2 linked regions of the Caenorhabditis elegans genome follow. The protein of the gene in region 2 interacts with the protein of the main gene of each other region in a pairwise test. Each region holds a gene or a part of one and is shown on either strand. Other genes may lie near its edges.

Region 1 (5,309 bases), 1.6 Mb from region 2:
AGTGAAACACCCTCTCATTCGGTAACCCAATCCCTGAGAGCAGTTTCTTCGTGTTTCACTTGAAGATCAGTCGTTTTGTGATAATGATGATGATGATAAAACATAGAGGACGGGAGCTCTTTTGAATAAGAAGAAGAAGCCAACTGTCTCGTTGATAATCTGTCGTCTCTTCATTCACCATTATCATCTTCTCAGACGGACTAAGACGCGCGGGATTCGGACTACGAGAGTGAGAGAGAAAGAGTCTTTGTATCCTCATTGATTATCAATTATTATCTCACACGTTTCATCCTCGATTTCTTTCTTTTTCCTACATCAACTATTACTCATATTTTTCTTGATCTTTCTTCTGTCATATGATTTTTCGGGTACTATAGGATTTTAGTTTTCAAGTTTTCACACTCAGACATTTAAATATATTTCTAGATTCTCATAAATGGGTCTTGCCACGACTGTTCCGTATACCTATTCATGAAATACCGTATTCGGTTTATGCTTTTTTTCAATTAAGCATTTTTTAACATGTTTTCATTTTTCTAACAGTAAGACAATATAAATTTACTTCATTCCAGTATTCCAAAAAAACACTTATTTTTTTCCAAACTTACTTTTGTCAAACTAATCATCTACTTTTCACATATCCATCTCCACATACGTGAAAATGTGAATAATTCTTAACTTACCATGGAATTCGTAATTTCATGTTTGCTATAAATTTGAACCATATTATTATGTGTTATTTCTGCTCATTTTTTATCGAACGTCATTCTTAGTTCCTCAGAATAGTATCGCTTTCTACTATTTTTCCAAATGCATCATACTTTATTAGCTCAAATTTCATTCATTTTCGGAAGAGTATTGTTTGCGGGGGATGTTTTTTATTTACAAATATGACACTATTCTGGGAATCTCTACAAATTGGCATTTTTCCAAAATGGTATTTTTCTGTTATAGCCTAGAGATCCTACACATTTTGATGCTCTTTTCATTTATTTTGATCTATTTTTCCTCCTTTTTTGAAGTTTTTTTTTGTGTTTTTATTTTGAACAAATGTTATGAACAACTGTGTAAATATGATCTCAAAACTTTGTCGTCACTTGTGAAAATTTGTGATGATTCAATCGGTTCAAATCACTTTGCCAAAACTACATATGTTTTCTCGGAAAAAAAAACCGTTGTTGAAATTTTCCACAGATACACAAAAACTCCTAAATGCAGAGCCTACACCTGCCTCTTACCTACTCTAAAATCTGTTGAGTGAACCATAAGACATTTAAAGTTGAGCAACAACTTTTTTGGGAAAAATAAACATTTTGGAAATTTGCAAGCAAAATATGTGGCTTTTCACAAAAACTAGATTACAAAAAATACTTTCATATTTCTCAAAATTCTTAATCACTTTCTTATAAAAAATTTGTAATGTTATAAATTTTTGAACTTGTTGTATGATTATCGGATTTTAAATTAGTAGTATACTACTTTTTTCCAAATATAAAGATAGAATATTAATAATCTTCTTTCTTTTTAAAGTTTTTATTCAAAGATACTTCTAATGCCCCCGAACAAACTCTAAACTCTATTTTGCATCTTATTGAACTTGGTCATTGTGATCTGTTTCTATTTATCTGTTTTCTCAATAGACTCTCTTTCATTGTTGCATTCCTTCATTCCAATCTTACCGTTCTATTTGTTTTTTTTTCATCACAATTTTCCATTTTGCAAGAAAGCCTGAGCCTTCTCCCAACTGAGCCTGAGTGCAAACTCGTGCCAGAAAAGGAGTGGAGGCGGAGGTGAAGATTGTTTGCTCCCGAATCTCTGTACTTGCCCTTTTTCTCATTTATTGACTCTTACTTCCTCGTTCTTCAATATTTCCAAATCATTACAATTTCTTCAAATGTTCAGATGAATATATGGCCGTTCCTGCCGCCTCATCGATAGTTTCATACGGAGGAGCAGCCACTTCTAACTTTTTGACAACACCAGTTACACCTTTTCTTGCGGTAAGTTTACTTCTTTTAACCATAAATGTTTAATTTTTTAATTTTTTTTTGAATTAAGAACGTTTGGAAGTTCAAGCTATATGTACTCAAAATGTGAAAAAACCAAAAATTGAAATATTCATACAGTAACTTAAGAATCTGACACCTCTATGTTTTTTGGAAAAAATTATAGCACACTAGAAAATCTAGGATAATGTTTTTTTCTCCCACAAATTGATTACTTTTTCAAAGTTAAGATATGAACTGAAACTTAGAAATAAATTTTCAGGGATTCTATAATTCAAATTTTGTAACCGATCGTATAAATTCATGTGCTCCGTATCGAGTGGACCGGATCAGAGTGAGTTTGAAATTAGAGATACAGTTGTAAACTTGAAAATGGTTTCCAGAAACAACTACAAGATGAAGAAGAAAATGGGTATCCACCTGCTGATGAGTGAGTTTTTAAGCTTTTCAAACTTTTTGTAACAAGGGATCTCGGATTTTTTACTCAATTCTTGAAATTTGTTTTCTTTCACAGGGCAACGACAATTTATCAAAAACAACAAAAAACATTTTTTTAATCGAAGTGATCATGATCAAAAATTAAAACTTGCCAATGATTTCAAAGGCATTGCGTTTTTGACTAATTTCTACTTCCAGCCGTCGCCGCGGAGCCCTGTTTTGTCGTTCGGGAACCTGGTTGGAGATGCTTCCTATCGAAAATCCTGACGATGGATCGACACGTGTCAAAGTTCATGGAACAAAAGAGGAGAGTTCCAAATTCAGTATAGTGGAGTTTGTGTCAGTGGCAATGAGTCTTGTATCGATTCGAGGAGTTGAAACAAAGAATTTCATTTGTATGGATCCATCGGGGAAATTATATGCAACACCATCATCTAATTATTCAACAGAATGCGTTTTTCTCGAAGAAATGATGGAAAATTATTACAATTTATATGCGTCTTGTGCTTATGGTGACAGGTTTAATCCCTGGTATATTGAATTACGACGGAGTGGAAAACCAAGGAGAGGTCCTAATTCAAAAAAACGTCGGAAAGTAAGTGAAATATATACTCATTCTGCTTTGACAGCTCGTATCGGAGATATTATTACATTTTAGAAAAATAATTTTTAAAACCCGATTAAAGTATATTTTCGAGCATATGTTCGCAAGAAAATGTGGTTTTTACCAAAAATTAGAAGCTCGAGGTCTGGAACGAGCGAATATTTCCTGATATGTACATTAACTTTTCTCTCGTTTCAATAAGTTCCTACCGTACTCGCGGCTACTGTAGCTAGATACATAAAGAAATCCGTGTGCACTTTTTTTTGATTGAAATACATTATCCGTATATTTCAGGCGAGCCATTTTCTAGTTGTTCATCACGATCTTGACCGGTTACGAAGTCCCGTTCCAAATGGAAATGTGAGTTTTTTCGAGACATACAGTTTCAACTTTTTGATTTTCAGGACGTAACCGATCTGGTAGTTGCTTCACTCTTTCACCAACCTCCCAGTCATCCATTATTCCGACAGCAGACCGTTACAAAACCACCAAATCCACATCGTATTTCAAAGTAAGCATTTATATCAAAAGTATCAGATTAGAGCTAATGAAATTTTTGTAGTTTACGAGCAAAAGTGGAAATGACGAACCAAGCTGAGAAGCAAAGATTATTAGAAGAAAAGAAAAGACGAAGAGAAAAGAAGAAACGAAGGAGAGAAGATCGATTAAGAAAAGAGGAACAAATTAGAGAGTTAGTTATTATTCTGAGAAAAAGAAAGCGCAGAGAACTGAGAATTATTATGAAAGTATTGAAAAATAGCAGAACATTTTTTTGGTTTTTAAGATTTGAAGCCAGACTGAAATGGCTTTTTTTGGGTATCGTTCCGTTTCAGTTTTTGAGCGGCAAAAATAAATTCAATGCCAGGTAGCACAAAACTATTTGAAACATTTATGATGATTCCACGTGTGACTTTCCTAGATCTATACCAATTATCAAACGTATTTCAGAGCCCGTCGCCAAGAGCTCAAAAGTCTTCGTGAAGAAGAACTCCGACGTCGTTATCAACAACAACAGCAGCAACAAGCATCTACTCAAACTCGGTACAATCGTCCTCAAAATCCAGCGAATCCTTATCCAACGTATCGACCTCTTCCAACAAGATCAACAGTACAATCTCCACGACCTGCATACAATCCATATTGGCAGTCTCCAGTGACACAGGCTCCTCATCACAATTCCCATCACCATCATCATCACCATCCACGTGTCAGCTCTTCATCAGACCCTCAACAACGTCATCAATCACAACAACACTATCTAGCTCAGACAGTGTCAAATCCAAACCGTCAGAATGTTAACTATCAACGATACCCGTGAACGATCTCTCTTCTTATGATACCCCGCACAGCATCTATCATCATGATCTTCTCATTTTCTTTCCATTTCTTCCTGCCTTCTTTTGCTTAATTAATTTTTTATCAGGGCTGATTTTGAGAAGAAGCGCAGTACATTGTCGTGAAGTTCGTAAGGCACGGTGCTTTAGAAATGAAACCCTTTCTTGTGAATATTGAAACACACAACGAATTTTCTAATTTTCTATTTCTACCTTCATAATATTTCTGTATTAGACTCTTAAAATCACACCATGCTCTAAATACGACAATTTGCGTACACTACTGTTTTTCTTCCCAAGCTCGCCCCTTTTAAGTATGTTTTCCAAGTCTCTCTAAAACACCCCCAACTCGCCACGTGTCTCATTCCATACTCACGGGTTTTGTATTTTGAACATACTGTAACTTACTATTATGAATAATATATATTTGAAAAATATGTATTGTTATTTTAAAAAAATTATCAATGGAGCGAATTTACAAAGACAGGTAATTCAAAAACTTAGAGACATGTTCTCAATCCAATTGAATGAAGGCTTTGCATCCAAATATTCAGCACCAATAACCCATGATGGATTGATCGAACGGATTTCATCGAAAATAAAATGATAATCGATTTCTCCGCGTGTATCACATGCACCTCTATTTGGAACTTGAGCCACTTGAATATAGCCTGAAAAACTCGAAAAAAATCGACGAATGAAAAAGTAATTTCAGAAAAATAGGGCGTAAGCTTATTTTCATCATCATCCTTTTCAACTAACCAATATAATCTTTGAGCTTTCTCATAATTGCTCCAATTTGTCCGTTGATTTGTTGAGCGTGGAATGTGTCCTGAAAAATTACAGTTACTTTTCGAATTCTTATTTTCAAAAAAAATTGTGCATAAAATTCGATGTTTTATGTTCTATTGACTTACATATTGAATT
Region 2 (6,507 bases):
TCGAGCTGAAAGAGAGAAGGCCGACGAGCGGAGCCAGCAAAATATGGATAAGATGATGGCACTTGTCCATTCTCTCGTGGAACGTGTCGATAGGAGCCACGCTTCGTCATATGATGTGGTTGGTCAAAAGAATCCATCGTCCAGCTCCCTCAAACCAGCGAAAAGAGTCAAGTCTGCCGTTGTTCGTCAATCCAATTTAGCCAAGCGGACCGGAGCACCTGTTGATGCTGCAAAGGAGTTGAAAAAGATTCGAGATGAGGAAAACAGAAACCATGGACGATCTGCTGAAAGGTAATTCTAGTTGTGTTTTTTTTTTCAATTTAAATGAGAGTTTCAGAGATAATGTGTTCATCGGTGCAGTGCTGGTGGGGAAAGGATCTCAGTACGATAAGGTAAGCCTGAAAATTATAAAAAATTAGTTGAAGTTGTTTTTCAGGATCTTGAAAAATTCAAGAGCTTCCGATGCAGGACCTGCAATGAAGTTTCCCAGACGAAGGAGCAGCTCGTGGATCACTTTTCAAACAACCACGCCGGCGAACTTGGGGCGAGAAGGTCACTGCGAATAAAGCAGACCTCGTGTTAAATTTCTTTTTTAATTTATATTCGTTTTTGTTTTAAAATTTAAGCTTTTTTGATACAAATAAATTTTATAGTAAATAAATCTTGTTTCTCCTACCAGCTATCTAACTATTCCCAACAGTGGGTGGCAATAAATACGAGACGCGGCTCTTCTCACGGCGGTATCATAGATGCACAAAGAGCAAAACGATTACGCAACAGACAGCCGGGTCATATTCAGGTCAAACTTGATAGTGCATGAAATCGAGTAGTAAGCGACTCTTTGATATTTTCAGATGCTCCATTTGTTGTTCTTCATGACAGCTGCAGAGTTCCCAGATCGTAAATGTTTAATGTTCTGAAAGAAGGTACATAATCAGTCAAAGGGCGGTCTCATTGTTGCCTTTTATATCAAATCTTTGGAGGACAAATTGTCGATTTCAGCAACATTTTTTGTTAAGAATCTCCAACTTTTAGAATAACTATTTAATAGATCACTCGTTTCTGATAAGAGAAATAATTCTCTGCTACCGTAATCTTTGCTCCACATGAACCTGTCAGTCATAAATGCTCATTCGTATCGTACTCAATTAAACTTTCATCGCTCATTTATTTCCTAATGAACATCGTAATGGAACCTCAATTCCAGATGGGCTCAATGGCCGGTAGACTTACTATTATTTGGGCGAGTAGATCAAATATGAGGTGAGTGATCTATTTTTCAAATTATTTTAAAGGCGGGATCTCATTGAAATTAAATTTAGTGGCTAAAATTCTTCTTTTCTTAATTTTTGGCTAGATGATTTTTTCTAATCTTTTTCAAAATTTTATAATTTTTAAAATATTTATTTAAATAAAAAGATATTTAACAGCAAGTTAACTATTGAACAATAAATTAAATAAAAATCTTCGTAAATCGACAAGTGGAAAGTGCGCTCTATTGAGCTGATCAGTCAGTAAAAATTTTTCAGTGTTAATTTTTTTCTGTTCTTCATTTCTGTTGAGTTTTAACGTTTCTTTTATATTTGTCTTGCTAATTTCAATGCTAAAAATCAATTCTAAAAACGCATATTTTATTAAAGTAAGAAAATCCATCTTCGAATACAGTCTCGGACAGTTTCCTGCACAGACCAATAATTTATTTCCCAACGAACTGGGCGTTTTTGTTTCCTTGCCGACCTGTCTCATTGTAAAAGTGATATGTTTGTCTGAAAATCGACGTGTGGCTATAAATCATTCACAATTCCCTCTCCCGTTCATATCTGATAAATCCCGCCTTCCCAAGTGCTCAATGAGCCGCAGGAGGCGGTGCCGGGTTGCCAGCTCGTTATTTTATTGCTATTCTCATCAAATCTCGAAAATCTTCCTTCAAATTTTGAATTTTTATTACTGTTCACTTTTCTCTATATAAACTGATAATTACTTCCTCGTTTTCAGAATGTCGGTCGATGTCAAGTCGGATTTTTCGGAAAACGAGTCCTCATCAACACCTTCACCAACAACAGTTCCAGCAGATGTCACGTGGCCTCACTATCCAATGATGCCATTCATGCAACCACATCCTCTGAGGCTAGATCTTCGAAATTTTTATTTGGAATCTCAAAATCAACGAAAAATTAAATATTTCCTGTTGGTGTTTCATTACGACCAAGTGAACAAAATTAAATACCATAAATATTTAATAATCCAGCACACACACATGGTTGTAAATCCATGCCCTTTCTCTTATTTATCTCCTTCAAAATATTTGCTAACCATGTATTTATTCTCAAATATTGTCGCCTTTTTGATGATAGAATTTGTTTGAAAGGTTATATGCAAATTTTCGATCTATCCGGAGGGTACGGTAACGCCCCGCCTCCACAGTGTATTGGAAGACATTGCTCCGCCCATTTCCACCGTTGGAATGAAGCGGGAGGGTGTCTAAGAGGTAATAGGCGTGTGTGTGTGTATCAATTGACAAGAACATTTGATTAAGGAGGTGCTATATTTTGAAGTTTTTCTTGTTTTTTTTTTTCATTTTATACTTAATTTTCTTTTTTCAGAGAAAAGATGCTGCAACCAACATTTGATCCACAAATCTATGGAAGGTGGTCACAAATGGGTGATACTGGTTTTTACGTACGTTTTGAATGAATTTCCTTAAGGTTTTTTATTTAAAAATTGAATTTCCAGGGACATCCGGATCTCTATCCATTCGGCCTTCCACAACTCGCTGCCAACGGACAAATTCCAGCAGTAGAAGCCGTTGATGTGAAGCCACCGCTTTCGAATGGAAGTAGCAGTAGTGATAGTGGAATGTATCCATCACCGAGTGATATGATGACACCGTTCCCATCAACATCATCTGGAGCTGCATCTTCTTCAGAGCTTTCAGCAGCTGCTGCTGCTGCAGCCAACTACCAGATGAGAGCTGCCACGTGTTATCAGCAATCTGTTTGGCCGTTTATGGATTATCAACAGGTAATCATATAAAATTGTATTTTAATACCTTTGTTGGCTTTTATAACACCAAAAAACATAATTTCCTAGCGAGACTTTTCAAAAACTGTTCACATTTTTTATGACTCTAAATTGTTGGTACAGTTTTTATTGAATTTTATTTTTTATTGCATATTTTAGGTACGGCTACTCGCGTTTATTCATTGATTTAAGCAGTCTACTTCCAAAAATTACAAAAATTCAGTGCCTATCGGCTTAGAACGCGCCTAAATCAACGAATTAACACGAGATAAATTACCAAAATATGCAATGAAAAATGAAAACTTACTAAAAACTGTATTTCAGCTACTAGACAAGGATAAGTTGATAAAATTTTAGATTTCAGCATTTTTGGCTCTTTTCGATATTTTAAGCTGCCATAAAATTAGGAAATTCTGTCGTTTGTGGTAACTTGTCTAATAAATATCTCTAATAATGTCTAATAAGTCTAATAAAGCAGCCAATTTTTGATCTGTTAGTTCTCCTCCAAGTGAGCTTGTTTTAAAGATAATTTAAGTTTCAGGGATTCTCGTGGAAAATGCCTCTTGGAAACAATCATGGAAAGGATCGAAGATCAAGCAGTGATGGGAAAACATTACCAACGGGACCTGGAACGAATAGTAAGTTTTCAAAAGAGTCTCCCCGTGTGCAAACAATCTCTCTTCAAGTGAAAAAGAAGCCGCTATCAGTCATATTTATCAGTAACTAGGACAAATGAATTGAGTATTTATGATTCCTTTCCCATCAATTTCCCATTTTATTACGAGGGAGTTTGTAATTAAACTTATTTTCAGATGTCCGTGTACGAACAGCTGACAAATACCGTATGGTTTACTCGGATTATCAACGCCTTGAACTGGAAAAAGAATTCCATACATCGCCATTCATAACATCAGATCGCAAGTCCCAATTGTCGACGATGTTAAGCTTGACAGAACGACAAATCAAGATTTGGTTTCAAAATAGGTAGATTCTTTTTTAAACTCACTGCCTAAAATGGGATGATTGATTACTACAAATTTGAAGACACCAAAATAATATCAAGTTTTCTTGATTTGGCACAGAGATGAAAGGCGGTAAAGGTGATGCGGTGTATGAGTTACGGTGCTTACGCAATTCGACCCGTGTGGCAGGTAGCAGGAGAGTCTTTAGCCGTGAAAGAGTGTTAGAGTGACCTCAATTTATATGATGAGAGGTGGCAAATTGGGATTGTTATGGTGTGAGATGTCATATTAATAGATCTGAAAGTTTAATTTGGTTTATTGGAATCATGAGATTAGACTTCAAATATTGACACATATTTCACAACGTCATTTAATTAACAGATGATGTTGCCCTCTGCAAATCTCATTTGAATTCATTCATTCCGCGCCCTTTCGAGCCAAATACGTTGTTTGCTGTTTGCTGTTTGCTTACTCTTTCTCAGGCTTTTCCAGGGGACTCATCACAATGACTGTCACCTCCTACTGTAACCATAGGAAAAAGTACCACCACACTTTCGTTCTTTAAGATTCAGTTCAGTCCACGCGCGCAGTAGAGATAGTTCCAAGGAATTAAAGAGTCGTAAAGTTGTGTAATTGGAGGCCACAGTGTTTGAGACGTGCTGGTGGAGGTGAGGAAGAGATGAAGTTTGTTAATTGGTCCGTTTACGACTTTCTAATTGGTATTACTGTAGAAGAGAGGTGGTCACTGCTTGCATGTGTGGCTATCTACGCGTTCGGGGATTTGGAAATTAACAAGGGAATAGGATATCTAGTGCGAATTTCCAAGTTATTGGGATAAAACACTTCCCGTAAAGTGCTACTGTTAATCTCCTTCACTCGCATGTTAAAGGGAGAGTATCGTTTGTAGGTTTGCAAAAAAATATACTCAAAATGCCCCAAATTTCAAGTTTTTGCCTTTATTTAATTAGGTGAGGTTCTAGCTCAATGAAAGAGTCTACAGAAATGATAAAGCAAGGGTTTCTGACCAGCTCGCAGAGATATACCAATTATCTGCTCAACAGTCGTTTTTTTTGTTGTCTGTTGCCTTGTTTGACAATATTAGTGCGCATCGAAAGATTTACGAGGGGAATAGAAACGTCGTCGGCAGAGATTCCCAGAGTGCTGTAAAATGGAAATCAATGTGTGTGTCCCTTTCCTGTAGCGTCCCAATCCAAACAGACATACATACTGTGTTGGACAGACGTGACCGCCGTTTTCCTGGGAAGAGGTAACATACGGACGAACCATACCGGTCATTGTATTCATTAAAAGAAAGGGAATATAAACCAAAAGATTGATGTTCCCTATCCCTTTTCTTTGAAAAGCGTATTTTTTTTGAATTCACCACTGGGACGGCATCTTTTTGATCTCAATATATTCTGATAAATTGTTAATTTCCGTAATAATACTGTAATATTTTTAATTGCAGGCGTGCAAAGGATCGTCGTGACAAACAGAAGATTCGGCTATAAGTACTCATCTACTTACAAAGAAAATGTACAAAAATTCTGGGAATTTTCATATTTTTCTAGAATATTGTACACATTTATTATATTTTTACATTTCTCTCGCTTGAATACGGTTAAATTCACACTTTTATATAATTTCTTCCTGTCCCATCTCCCATTCTCTCACATCAGAATATTCTAATCATCACTGCCCTTAACATATATATATATATATTTATAACTTTCCGATCATTCCTTCTGCTTTGTAAACTAATCCAATCATTCTCTAATGAATTATTCCCTAATATAGAGCTTCTTTATTTATTGTGATTTCTTGTTTCTTACCCTTCTCAAGGTTTAGGAAAAAGTTTAGGTCCCCATTTGTTATGTATTTACTTCCCACTCTGAACGGATCCATTTTGAACATGTTTTCTATTTTTTGGAAAAGTTTAGAGAATTCTTTGCTTTTCTCACATATCTTGATTGCATATTTTTTATAACAAAACAATGAAACAATTTTGAAGAATTTACAGCAGAAATTGATGAGATTAACTATCCAGTTTTTTGAAATGTATTAAATCGACGGCAATATCCACGGCCTTTTGTTTATGGAATTTGTAAGTCGCTGGTAGTTGCCACCGCATTTCTGCACAACATTCTGCCTGAAACTCAATATTTTTTTTTCTAATTTTAGAATAATTTAAAAACAAACCCCAACTCCGTCCCATTTCTTTGCATTTTTTAGAATATAATCTCTAGTTGATGATTTATGAAGTGAAAATACACTTCCACCAGGCCGAACCATTTGAAGACCGATTTGGACAAATTGCATATCGATTCCTGAGAAATTTAAGATATTGTAACGTTTTAGGAGATCGTTGGATATTTACCTGCATTATTTTTTGTTCCAAATGGAGGATTAATGACAGCCACGTCGAATGTGCCACGTGGAAGATCGGATTCCGGGTCGAGAATGTCGGCTTGTAGAAGCTCGCATCTGGAAGAATTGAAAGTTTTTAATTTTTTATTATTACCCA

The links.
Region 1: the proteins of pal-1 (region 2) and let-756 interact in a two-hybrid assay, tested with the Caenorhabditis elegans proteins (one study listed by BioGRID).

What each region holds. Positions count from the first base shown.
Region 1 is NC_003281.10:6,405,227-6,410,535, forward strand, and holds let-756 (Protein let-756), read left to right. Parts: upstream 1-1,902; 5' UTR 1,903-1,910; coding exon 1,911-2,000; intron 2,001-2,268; coding exon 2,269-2,340; intron 2,341-2,389; coding exon 2,390-2,436; intron 2,437-2,642; coding exon 2,643-3,039; intron 3,040-3,342; coding exon 3,343-3,408; intron 3,409-3,452; coding exon 3,453-3,559; intron 3,560-3,610; coding exon 3,611-3,739; intron 3,740-3,996; coding exon 3,997-4,366; 3' UTR 4,367-4,807; downstream 4,808-5,309. Other genes in the region: C05D11.5 (Putative hydroxypyruvate isomerase), read right to left, coding at 4,875-5,053, 5,145-5,214, 5,300-5,309. UniProt on the Caenorhabditis elegans protein: Required for larval development. Probably by binding receptor egl-15, negatively regulates membrane protrusion from body wall muscles during larval development.
Region 2 is NC_003281.10:4,804,198-4,810,704, reverse strand, and holds pal-1 (Homeobox protein pal-1), read left to right. Parts: upstream 1-1,995; 5' UTR 1,996-1,996; coding exon 1,997-2,127; intron 2,128-2,603; coding exon 2,604-2,679; intron 2,680-2,733; coding exon 2,734-3,021; intron 3,022-3,345; exon of another isoform or gene 3,346-3,494; intron 3,495-3,556; coding exon 3,557-3,659; intron 3,660-3,833; coding exon 3,834-4,005; intron 4,006-5,451; coding exon 5,452-5,494; 3' UTR 5,495-5,996; downstream 5,997-6,507. Other genes in the region: C38D4.7 (C2H2-type domain-containing protein), read left to right, coding at 1-291, 338-392, 437-583; rRNA N(6)-adenosine-methyltransferase metl-5, read right to left, coding at 6,019-6,132, 6,183-6,310, 6,361-6,467. UniProt on the Caenorhabditis elegans protein: Transcriptional activator. Interacts with promoter regions for tbx-8.9, tbx-9, elt-1, hnd-1, scrt-1, and vab-7 genes. Binds the sequence ATTTATGAC. Binds to the enhancer region of the hlh-1 gene promoter during embryonic body wall muscle development.